3 linked regions of the Callithrix jacchus genome follow. The main gene of each other region encodes a partner of the protein of the gene in region 2 in a complex. Links are inferred from orthologs where the notes say so. Each region holds a gene or a part of one and is shown on either strand. Other genes may lie near its edges. The genes, in order: OBSL1, CUL7 and CCDC8.

The links.
Region 1: CUL7 (region 2) and OBSL1 share a complex: the UniProt entries of both Homo sapiens proteins name them as parts of the 3M complex. The link is inferred for Callithrix jacchus from reciprocal best matches to the Homo sapiens genes CUL7 and OBSL1.
Region 3: CUL7 (region 2) and CCDC8 share a complex: the UniProt entries of both Homo sapiens proteins name them as parts of the 3M complex. The link is inferred for Callithrix jacchus from reciprocal best matches to the Homo sapiens genes CUL7 and CCDC8.

What each region holds. Positions count from the first base shown.
Region 1 is NC_133507.1:141,311,926-141,315,667, forward strand, and holds the start of OBSL1 (obscurin-like protein 1), read right to left. Parts: upstream 2,827-3,742; 5' UTR 2,655-2,826; coding exon 1,643-2,654; intron 1-1,642. UniProt on the Homo sapiens protein: Core component of the 3M complex, a complex required to regulate microtubule dynamics and genome integrity. It is unclear how the 3M complex regulates microtubules, it could act by controlling the level of a microtubule stabilizer.
Region 2 is NC_133505.1:51,531,253-51,534,995, forward strand, and holds the start of CUL7 (cullin-7), read right to left. Parts: upstream 2,252-3,743; 5' UTR 2,248-2,251; coding exon 2,097-2,247; exon of another isoform or gene 2,008-2,096; intron 1,213-2,007; coding exon 535-1,212; intron 212-534; coding exon 60-211; intron 1-59. Other genes in the region: MRPL2 (large ribosomal subunit protein uL2m), read right to left, coding at 2,624-2,836. UniProt on the Homo sapiens protein: Core component of the 3M and Cul7-RING(FBXW8) complexes, which mediate the ubiquitination and subsequent proteasomal degradation of target proteins. Core component of the 3M complex, a complex required to regulate microtubule dynamics and genome integrity.
Region 3 is NC_133523.1:40,427,052-40,430,784, reverse strand, and holds the start of CCDC8 (coiled-coil domain-containing protein 8), read left to right. Parts: upstream 1-929; 5' UTR 930-1,672; coding exon 1,673-3,265; 3' UTR 3,266-3,733. UniProt on the Homo sapiens protein: Core component of the 3M complex, a complex required to regulate microtubule dynamics and genome integrity. It is unclear how the 3M complex regulates microtubules, it could act by controlling the level of a microtubule stabilizer.

The sequences.
Region 1 (3,742 bases), on a different chromosome or scaffold from region 2:
TGGTAGTTCCTAAGATGGCCTAAGTTCTCATCCGGGCCTGACACTTACTAGCCGCATCACCTTGAGAGTCCATTTCAATGTTTCTGAGCCTCAGTCTCCTTACTTGGAAAATGGGAACAGAGAGGGAAAGGGTTGGACCACATTGGTGATTTCCAAACTGTTCCTGCCCCCACTCCCCCAGGTATTTCATATATTCCACAAAGGCCTGAGTAGAATTTAAAATATTTTAACTCTTTTCAAAAGTGTATTTCGGTCAGGCAAGGTGGCTCCTGCCTGTAATCTCAGCAATTTGGGAGGCCAAAGTGGGTGGATCACCTGAGGTCGGGAGTTCGAGACAAGCCTGAGCAACAAGGAGAAATCCCATCTCTACTAAAACACAAAATTAGCAGAGTACTGTGGCGCATGCCTCTAATCCCAGCTACTTGGGAGGCTGAGGAAGGAGAATGGCTTGAACCTGGGAGGCAGAGGTTGCGGTAAGCCAAGATTGCACCATTACACTCCAGCCTGGGCAGCAAGAGCAAAACTCTGTCTCAAAAAAAAAAAAGTGTATTTCAAAAAAAAGAAAACAGGATGTTAGAAACCAGGTTAACTTAGATTGCTGGAAAAGCAAGTTTTTTTTGTGTGTGCAACTCTGGGAAGCACCTCTAGCCCTCCCTCAGGGCTTTTCCTCCCTGATGGAGGTCCAGATCCACATCAGCCTGGCGAATCTGTGCACATCGAACTGTACCAGTGAGGCCACCACCACAGCCTGGGGGGGCCACATGCTTGACTGCATGCCAGGCAGGACTCAGGATAATTTACCAACTTTGTTTTTCCTCCTAGAGAAAAATCTGGACAACTAGTGAAGGCGTAATCCTTTGCACTGTGATGAAATACTGTTATGGAGACTGTTACCTTCCAGTGAGTTTGGGGTGTGTTTTTTTCCCTTTGAATTTTCTGTTTATGAGAATGTAAGCATTTATTGGATATTGTTCCTTCACCTTCCTCTTCTTTCAAAAGTGGGGAGCAGTTTAATCAAAGAACAGTAAAAACATTCAGGAAATTTGTCCACCCTCAAGTCTACCTTTCCACTGAAACGGTGGTTTCTCAAGGTGACAGATGCAGCCAGGCCGTCCCCTCTCCACGGGGTTCAGAGCCTGAACCACGAATGCAGCCTTCACTTCAAATGCCTATATTCAATAAAACGGCCTCCTGATTCTCACTGATGCTTTAGAAGCCTGTTACACACGTAGACTTAGCAATTTACACCCATAAAACACTCCTTTATCTGTTTCATCTATTGGGGCTCCGGTTGTGAATTCAGTTGGGGAAGGAGGAGTAAAATAACAAAGACGATGAAAACCACTAGGGGAGAAGAGTTCTAGGCCCTTCTAGGTTTGTACATCAATCACTTCTTAGTGGTGTTCCACCATCTGCCTCAGAATCACTTGGGGAGTTTTCTAAGAAGTTGCTGAGCACCCTGGAGACCTACTAAATCCGAATCCCTGGGGAGTGGGAGGCAGGCGGGTTGGGTCTTTTAATATTCCCGCCGACCTCCCCTCCCCCAGTCTTCAGGGCAGCGCCGGGCACCGAGAGGGGCCGGGGTTCGGCGGGCCTCCGAGGACACTCAAGGCCGCTCCCCGGGCCCCGGGCGCTGCCGTACCTTTCACGTGCAGCTGCACTGCGCTGAGCGTCTGGCCCGCGGAGTTGCGCGCGGCGCAGACGTAGAGCCCGCGGTCCTTGGCCTGGCAGTAGAGCACCTTGAGCACGAAGCCGCCGTCGCGGTCGCGGTACATTAGGCGGCGGCGGTCCGGGAGCAGCGGGAGGCCCTCCCAGTGCCATTCGATCTCGGGCTCGGGCTTGCCCATCACGTAGCAGCGGAACTTGGCGTGCTTGCCCTCGTTCACCCAGAAGGTCTTGGGCGCGCACTTGAGCGGCTCCACCACGGGCGCGGGGGCCTCATCGGGGTCCGCGGGCGGGCTCTCAGGGGGCTGCTGCACCTGGAGCAGCGCGCCAGCCTGCGCGTGGCCGTGCGCGTTGCGGGCGTGGCACACGTAGACACCGGAGTCCGGCAGCCGCGCGGCCAGGATGCGCAGCGCCAGGCTCGCGCCCGGGCCGTCCTCGGCCCGGCCAGGCTCCAGAGCGAAGTGGCTGCTGTCCCACACTTCGTCCAGCGCCATCCCGTCCTTCTCCCAGTACAGCGTGGGCTCGGGGAGGCCCCCGGCCTGGCACGTCAACACCACCTCCGCCCCCCGCAGCACCCACTGGGACCGCGGCCCCGCCAGGAAGACCGGGGCGCCCTCCCCGGACCCCGGCGGCGGCAGCGGGAGCTCGGCGGGCTGCGGCTCGGGCTCGGAGGCCGGCGGCTCCAGCACGGTGATGGCGGCCGCCGCGTAGGCCTCTCCGGCCACATTGCGGGCGCGGCACACGTAGACCCCCGCGTCGGTGGGCAGCGCGCCGTTCAGCAGCAGGCCGTGCTCCGCGCCGTCCGCCAGGAAGCTCAGGCGTTCCGAGGCCGCCAGCTGCTGCCCGCCCTTCTCCCACACCACGACGGGCGGCGGCTCCCCCAGGACCACGCACTTGAGCTCGGCCTCGGCGCCACTTACCACCCGCACGGGCCGCGGGAAGCGCAGGAAGCACGGGGGGCTCCCCTGGTCCCCCGAGCTTGCCTTCATCGCGGCGGCCACAGACCGCCCGCAGTGGCGAACCAGGGAGGGTGGGCGGAGGGCGAGCCGAGGCCGGAGGCGGCGGCGAGGGCTCCGGGACCGGGGCGCGGGGATCCGCGGAGTTCTCCCAGGCTGCCCGCTCCCTGCTCGCCTCCCTGTCCTCGGTCTGGAGCTGCAACTCTGCGGCGGCGGCGATTCCCTGACCCAGAGCCCGGCACTTAGGGGGCAGTCCTTCCTGTTTGGCTCTCCAGCGAGGGGCCCCGCAGCCTCCTCTGCCTGCGGCCTGGCTTCCTGCTCTGGGGAGGCTCTCTTCCCAGCCCCCTCCCACAGCTTGGGCCTCTTTCCCCTCCTCCCTCCCACCTCCAGTCACCAGGTCCCCAGCCGCCTGCCCGCCAGGCTTGGGCCTGAGTGGCAGAGGCGCCTGCAGCTGCCAATCCCAAAAATATTCTCTGATGACACAGCTGGAGGACAAGAGCCCAGACTGGCTCCTCTGGGCTAAGTATAGAGCAGGCGGGACCACCTGGCCCCCGCCCTAGCTCCGGTTCTAGCCCTGGCCCCAGCCCTTCCCCCAGTGGCTGGCCTGCCCAGCAGCTGCTCATTGAAAGGGGCCCCAGAAGGTCTGAGGGGTGGTGCACTCTGTCTCCTGGACAAATGACACTTTCTGGGGCTGGCCGGCTACAGCTCCCAGGCTTGATGTCACTTCTGGATGTGAGACTGTGTGTGTGTGTGTGTGTGTGTGTGTGTGTGAATAGGGAGTTGATGTCCCCTCTGGATGTGTGTGTGTGTGTTTGTGTGTATGTGTGCAGGGAGAAGGGGTTGTATGTTTGCATGAGGGTCGGGTCGCTTGGGGCGAAACCCTCTCCAGCCCCTCCCCCACATTCCTGGCGGGAGTGGGAGATAAGGCTCATGGCCACAGGCATCTACGTCAGAGATAGGAGGTCTCAATGCCACGGGCAGGGGCAACTCGGACTGTGGGGCGTGGGAAGGACTGGGGAAGACTGGGTGAGAAGCATACAAGAGGGTGGGTGTGGGATGAGGAGGGGAAAGCAGGGAGGCCCTGGGCACACCCTGGCAGAAGGGGCACAGGGCAGGGAGTG
Region 2 (3,743 bases):
AAGACTCAGTCCCTAGATCTGGTTCACAAGCTCCCCCCACCTTACACCCCAAAGGTTACCTGTGGTAGCTGAATGCCCTCGAAAGACATGGGATGTTCAGAGAGCGTGGCCTGTGCAAACAGTGCTAGCAGAGCACAGCGGCTATCAAAATCCAGGTGTTTCTCAATGGCTTCTTGTTGGCTCAGTGACAGAAGGATCTGAGTCCGGGTCCCTGTAACCCACACCCCAATCGGTAACTTCTCCCCAACCTCACCCTTCCTAAAATCTTGGACCGTCTACTCTTTCAATCCAATCCTTTTGCCACCACACAGTGGGAAATCATTGATTTGCTTCAAAAGTTAAAATTTGCTAACTTATATACACACACACAATCTGCAATAGTCTAAATTCTTCCTTTGCATAAAAAGTAACTAATTAACATGAGATTTTTGAAGATAGGGTTTCCTCTTTTGGCAGATACCCCCCGCCCTCACCCCCATTCCCACCTCCTTTTCTTCCAACTCTAAGAGAAGGGCAACAGAATCATTTACGTACTGATGAGATTAGAGGCTCCTGCCACAGTGTCCTGTGAGTCCCTGAGCCGACCCAGCCCTTCTGCTTTCCCTTCCTCCCCACACTGCCCCTCACCAGCATCATGGGAGGACAGGGCTTGTATCATCCGGCCTGCGCTCCAGCGAATCTGATAATCGGGACTACTCAACATGTGCATGAGCAAGTCCAGGACCCTTGGGTCCTTGAACACCCCAGTGAGGGGCTCGATGCTGGCATAGGCGCTGAGCACGTGGACAGTGTGAAGTAGAGGAGCAGGAGGGATGGTGCCCACACACTCCTCCAGCTGCCGAAGGGCTCTCTGAATGAGGGACTTCACATCAGTTTCCATCTCCTCCAGTACAGATTTGTCCAGGGCCCCAACCTCCCCTGCAGACTGGGAGGGCCTGATGACCTGGCCATCCTCGCCCAGCATCTTGTGGCAGTTGGCATATATCTCATCCTTAGACATCCACAGCAGGATATGTTCAGCCTTGCAGTCCACTTGGCCAGCGACCCCGTCCCCATCATCGCCACGCCGCAGGATGAGCCAGCGGATCTGGTACTCAGGATGCCCATCATGGCCCACTCGCTGGCGGATCAGCTCATCAGGATAGGCATGTAAGCCAGGCCCCAGGGGCACCCTGAATTCCCTGTAGCGGAGTTCCCCCACCATCCTGGCACCTGGAGCACACAAGGAAGAGAGAACAGACAAGCTAGAGTAAGGAGAGGTCAGAAAAATCAGACATCCAGGAGTTAGGGAAGCAAATGGCAACAGCTGTCGGGCAGGGTGGGGTAAAGCCAGGCCCAGGAGTTGCATGCTGCACGCTGGATGGGGGCAGGCCTAAGCAGAGAACACGGGGGTTGTGTTGTGAAAGAACACAAAATTTGGGGGCTAAAAGGAAGGTCCCCAAAACCCTGCAGCCTGGAGTGGGTGGGTTTGGAATAGTGGGCAGACAGTGGGGGCAGGGCAGCCTTGGAGTTTACAAGTGAATTCCAAGACTTTGGGACAGGCAGCAACCCTGGGGGCATGTGAAGCCCAGAGGGGTAGATTTATGGGGGGCTGGGAAGGAGATCGCGAGTGTGTGTGTGGAAAAGGGTGCTGTCTCTACGATTGGAACATGGGAGTGTGAGTCGCAGAGTTAAGAGACCCGAGAAATGGTGGTTGAGGGCAAGGCGCGATGGGCTGGAGGCACCTCTGACTGGAGCAACCGGAGCAAGAGGGCTGGTGGGGGCGCTGTGAGACCCAGGGCAGGGTGCACAGGAGAACAGGCAGGGGAGGGGCGCGAGGCTTGGGGGACCGAGGTTGGAGACCCGAGAAGCCTGGAACGCGCGCTATAAGGTGGGGGAGAGGGGCTAACTCCCATAAACTAGAACCCCGAGACACGGTGGGATGCGGGGCCGAGGTCAAGTGAGCGCGAGGATCCACGGGCAAGTGGTCAGGGGAGGAGCAAGGGGCCGCAGCGGGGCTCTGGCCACCTCAGAAGTCCACCGGGGTCCTGACGCGAGGCCTGTCCTTCACAGAGCAAGGGACGCGGCACAGACGCTGACGACGAATTGGGTCCCACCTGGGCCCCGCGAGGGGATCCAGACGGAGAGATCTGAGGGGGTGTGCCTCTGCGGAACAGAACAGCAGCGCCCGCGTGGGTCGGCAGCCACTGGGGCAGGGTGGGGCCTGGTCCCTGCCAGTGACTCCGCCTGCCAAAAGCCACGGCTCATTTCCGCCAGACCCAGCGGAAAGCTAGGGGCCCTGGGAGAGCGCTGGGGCGGAGCTGCGGGTGCCACCTTGGCGACGCAGCACCTCCTTCCCTGCGCCGCCCTTTCCTCTTCCTTTTTGTCCTCCCTCCTGCCGGAAGTGCCCTCCCCGTTTCCCAAAGTCAGAACTGGAAAAGGCCTTGGACGTCACTAATTTCCATCCTCGGGCTCCATTACCTGTAAGGGAACTGGGGTGGGGGCAGACCCACAGTGTCCTGTCTTTATCTTCCGACACTTTTTACTGCTTCTCCCCACATTCTGTCTGTACCATCCCCTCCCCCGCAAAAAACAGTAACAGATAAAAACAGGAGGTGGGGCATTTTATTAGAGTACAGGGATATCAGCTTTGGGCAGCAGCAGAAGGCAGCTTCACATAACTCTTCATGGGGGGTAGTGGCCGAATCTTTCGGCCAGCCCAGCCCCCCTTGCGGTGCCATCGCCCACTGTTAGGCCTCTTGCCCAGCCAACGGTTGCGCCCTGCCTTGCCAATAACCCGTTTGTTATGATCAACGTTGGATACTCGACCTACTGTTGCTATGCACGTTTCCAGCACCTGACAGAGAAAACAGATGGAGAAGAATGTACGATGTGGGGGCAAGATTTGACAATGTTTAGAGCACAACCCTTGGGGGGCGTCTTAGACTCAATGAGAGAAGGGAGAGGAGAAAGAAAAAGCACAAGACGGGTGAAGCTAAGTGAAGGTCCTACAGGAGGAACAAGGTAGTTGAAATCGAAGAGCCGGGTGCACTGACTCACGCCAGTAATCCCAGCACTTTGGAAGGCCGAGGCTGGAGGGTAACTTGAGCCCAGTTTGAGACCAGCCCAGGCACTATAGTGAAACCCCATCTCTACAAAATAAAAACTATTAGCCGGGGCCAGGTGCAGTGGCTCACACCTGTAATCCCAGCACTTTGGGAGGCCTAGGAGGGCAGATCGCTTGAGCCAGGAGTTCAAGACCAGCCTGGCCAACATGGTAAAACCCTATCTCTATAAAAAATATGAAAATTAGCTGGATGTAGTGGCATGTGCCTGTAGTCCCAGCTACTTGGGGGGCTGAGGCAGAAGGACTGCTTGAACCCAGGAGTTTGAGGCTGCAGTGAGCTATGATTGTGCCATCGCACTCAAGCAATAGAAACCCGGTCTCAAAAAAATTAATTAGGGTTGGGCATGGTGGCTCAGCCCTGTAATCCTAGCACTTTGGGAGGCTGAGGTGAGCAGATTAAGGTCAGGAGTTTGAGACCAGCCTGGCCAACACGATGAAACCCCATCTCTACTAAAAATACAAAAATTGGCCAGGCGCGGTGGCTCATGCCTATAATCCCAGCACTTTGAGAGGCCGAGGTGGGTGGATCACCTGAGGTTGGCAATTTGAGACCAGCCTGACCAACATGGTAAAACCTTGTCTCTACTAAATATACAAAATTAGCCAGGTGTGGTGGCCCATGCCTATAATCCCAGCT
Region 3 (3,733 bases), on a different chromosome or scaffold from region 2:
AGGATGGAGTGCAGTGCAGTGGCTGATCTTGGCTCACTGCAACCTCCGCCTCCCGGGTTCAAGTGATTCTCTTGTCTCAGCCTGCTGAGTAGCTGGGATTACAGGCACCGACCACCATGCCTGGCTAATTTTTTTGTATTTTTAGTAGAGACAGGGTTTCACCGTGTTAGCCAGGATGGTCTGTCTCCTGACCCCGTGATCTGCCCACCTCAGCCTCCCAAAGTGCTGGGATTACAGGCCTGAGCCACTGCCCCCGGCCGAGCCCGGCAAATGTTTGTATTTTTTTTTTTTTTTTTTTTTTTTTTGTACAGAGGAGGGATTCACCACGTTGGCCAGGCTTCTCTCGAACTGCTGGCCTCAAGTGTTTGTTCCACCCGCCTCGGCCTCCCAAAGTGCTGAGATTACAGGTGTGAGCCACCGCCCCGGGCCATGAACGTTTAGGTTATTCATCCACTCAAAACTATGCATTGAGCCCCGACCTTGTGCCACGCGCCACAGTGGGACTGTTGCAATAAGAACCTGGTACCCATTTCTCTACCCACGTGTGTGGGTGTACGGGTACCGATGGTCGCGTGAATTTAACATGCTCATCTATAGTGCCAGTGGCCCTCAAAAGGTCGAATCCACTAGCACAGCCACCTCCGGGGTTTGGCTGGGACTTGTCCATTTCGGAGGGCAGGTCTGGAAACCGCTGCCTTTCAGGAAAGGTGCTGACGTGGGCTACAGCCGCTTCGCTGGGAAGCAATGGGCCCAGTTAGGCCCGGGACGCGGCCACACCCCTGTGGGGGAGGGGAGGGAGGCCGCCCCGAAGGGAGTGGACAGCCCCCCTGTCAGTCTTCCCGAGTCCGGGAGTGTAAGATGAGACGGGGAAGGTGGGCCTCGTTCTAGGGGAAGGCGAGGAGGAACTTCCTGCCCCTGCGCTCCAAGGTGCAGAGCCCTAAGCGCGCGGCCTGGCAGGCTGCAGCGTGTCAAGGTCAGCCTGGAGCTGGGTGGCGGCCTGCCTGGGGGCGGGGTACCCAACTGCGGGGCCCGGCTGAGGCCTCCCAGCCCCTCGGCCATATTGAATAGCCTGGGCTGGACCGTCTTTGTCTGCGAATTCCTCTTCCAAGTTCCAGCCGCGTCCCCGGTGCCTGGGGCAGGAAGAATCGCTGGCAGCTCGCGCGCCCCAACTTGGAGCTGGACCACCACGTTTCCAGCTTGGAGTGGGCCTTGAGCCTCGGGACTGACCTCGCCCCCGCCCACGTAAGCATCCTGGAAATTGATTCCTCCAAGTCCGTGGCAAGGGAGCAGGACTTGGTCAACACTGGACTTGGTACAGGCGAAGAGATAGGAGGCGTGGGCTCGTCCCTGGCCTGGGGAGGAGACTCTCCGATCAGCGTTGCTGGCACTCCCCCGGCCTCCAGTCCCTCCCTCAAGACTGTAGCTTGTTGGGGCTCATTGCCCCCTCACCTCAGATACCACTCTGGAGATCTTAAAGACTCTCGAGAAAAGCCACGTGGGGGGCTGGTTCCCCTGGGGCTTCCTCCCGTCCCCCGACTGCCTAATTCTTTGGAGCGTCCCCGATGTCTGCAAAGATGTGGATTTGGACGTCCTCGTGGAAGCCCTGAAGCCCGTGGGGACTTTTAAGAAGATCGGGAAGGTGTTCCGCAAGGAGGAGGACTCCACGGTGGGGATGCTGCAGATTGGGGAGGACGTCGATTATTTGCTCATCCCCCGGGAGGTCAGGCTGGCCGGGGGCGTCTGGAGAGTCATCTCCAAGCCCGCCACCAAGGAAGCAGAATTTCGGGAGCGGCTGATCCAGTTCCTGGAAGAAGAAGGCCGCACCCTGGAGGACGTGGCCCGAATCATCGAGAAGAGCACCCCGCACCCGCCCCAGCCCCCCAGAAAGCCCAGGGAGCCCCGAGTGAGGAGAAGAGTGCAGCAGATGGTGACTCCTCCGCCCCGGTTGGTCGTGGGCACCTACGACAGCAGCAATGCCAGCGACAGTGAGTTGAGCGACTTCGAGACCTCCAGAGACCAGAGCCGCCAAGGCCCGCGGCGGGGCAAGGCGGTGCGCAGGATGCCGGTCAGCTACCTGGGCAGCAAGTTCCTGGGCAGCGATCTGGAGAGCGAGGATGATGAGGAACTGGTCGAGGCCTTCCTCCGGCGAGAGGAGAAGCAGCCCAGTGCGCCGCCTGCCCGCCGTCGCGTCAACCGGCCAGTGCCGATGTTTGAGGACAACCTGGGGCCTCGGCTGTCCAAGGCGGACAGGTGGCGGGAGTATGTCGGCCAGGTGTCCTGGGGGAAGCTGAAGCGGAGGGTGAAGGGTTGGGCGCCGAGGGCGGGACCCGGGGTGGGTGAGGCCCGGCTGTCCTCCACCGCATCAGGGAGCGCAGGAGTATCATCCGCGCCAGAGGGCACCAGCCCCAGGGATCGCGTGGGAAACGCGGGAGATGCCTGTGCGCCCCAGACCTCCCCCAGGCGATGGAGGCCCAAGATCAACTGGGCCTCCTTTCGACTCCACAGAAAGGAGCAGACAGCATCCACAGGTCAGGGGGCAGACTTCCAGGCTAATCATGGGGGAGAGGCTGCAGATAATCAGAGGGAAGGGGCCATAGCTGACCGGAGGGAAGAGGCCCCAGCTGACCAGGGGCCAGAGGCTGCAGATAACCAGAGAGAAGAGGTTGCTGATAATCAGAGGGAAGAGGCCGCAGCTGACCAGGGGCCAGAGGGTGAAGATAACCAGAGGGAAGAGGCTGCAGATAATCAGAGGGCAGAGGCCCCAGCTGACCAGGGGTCAGAGGCTGCAGATAATCAGAGGGCAGAGGCCCCAGCTGACCAGGGGTCAGAGGCTGCAGATAATCAGAGGGCAGAGGCCCCAGCTGACCAGGGGTTAGAGGCTGCAGATAATCAAAGGGAAGAGGCCGTACATGACCAGAGGGAAAGGTCCCCAGCTGTCCAGGGTGCAGATAATCGGAGGGCCCAGGCTGCACATAATCAGAGGGCAGGTGCCCCAGGCATCCAGGAAGCTGAAGCTTCAGCTGCCCAAGGGACCACAGGGACAGCTTCAGGAGCCAGGGCCCGGAAACAGGTCAAGACAGTGAGGTTCCAGACCCCTGGACGCTTTTCGTGGTTTCGCAAGCACCGGAGAGCCTTCTGGCACACTCCCCGGTTGCCAACCCTGCCCAAGAGAGTCCCCAGGGCCGGTGAGGCCAGGAACCTCAGAGTGCTGAGGGCTGAGGGCAGAGCAGAAGCTGAGCAGGGAGAGCAAGAAGACCAGCTGTGAAGTGGGAGCTAGGGACAGCGCACAGGCCCTCCCTCCGTGTGGGGGAGAGAGGTTGATCTTTCTGCCTCTGAACTTGAAAACGGAGGTGGATGCTGCCCACATCTCCACCTAAGCACCCTCTTTATTCTCTTGTTAAAATCTAGTCTCATGCTTTGATTTTTTTTGTTGTTATTTTTTAGAGACAGGGTCTCACTCTGTTGCCCAGGCTGGAGTGCAGTGGCATGATCGTAACTCACTGCAGCCTCAAACTTCTGGCCTCAAGTGATCCTCCTGCCTCGGCCTCCCAAAGCACTGGGATTACAGATGTGAGCCACCATGTGCACCACCTGATTTTTTAAAAAAAGACTGATTCCTTGTAGCAACCCAAAGAATGTAAGGAAAGAAATCGATAGGATAGGGTGGCATCACCCATAGTTTTAGCTTTCTCAGATGCAACTCAAGGTGCTCAGTTTGAAACAGGAGAGAGGG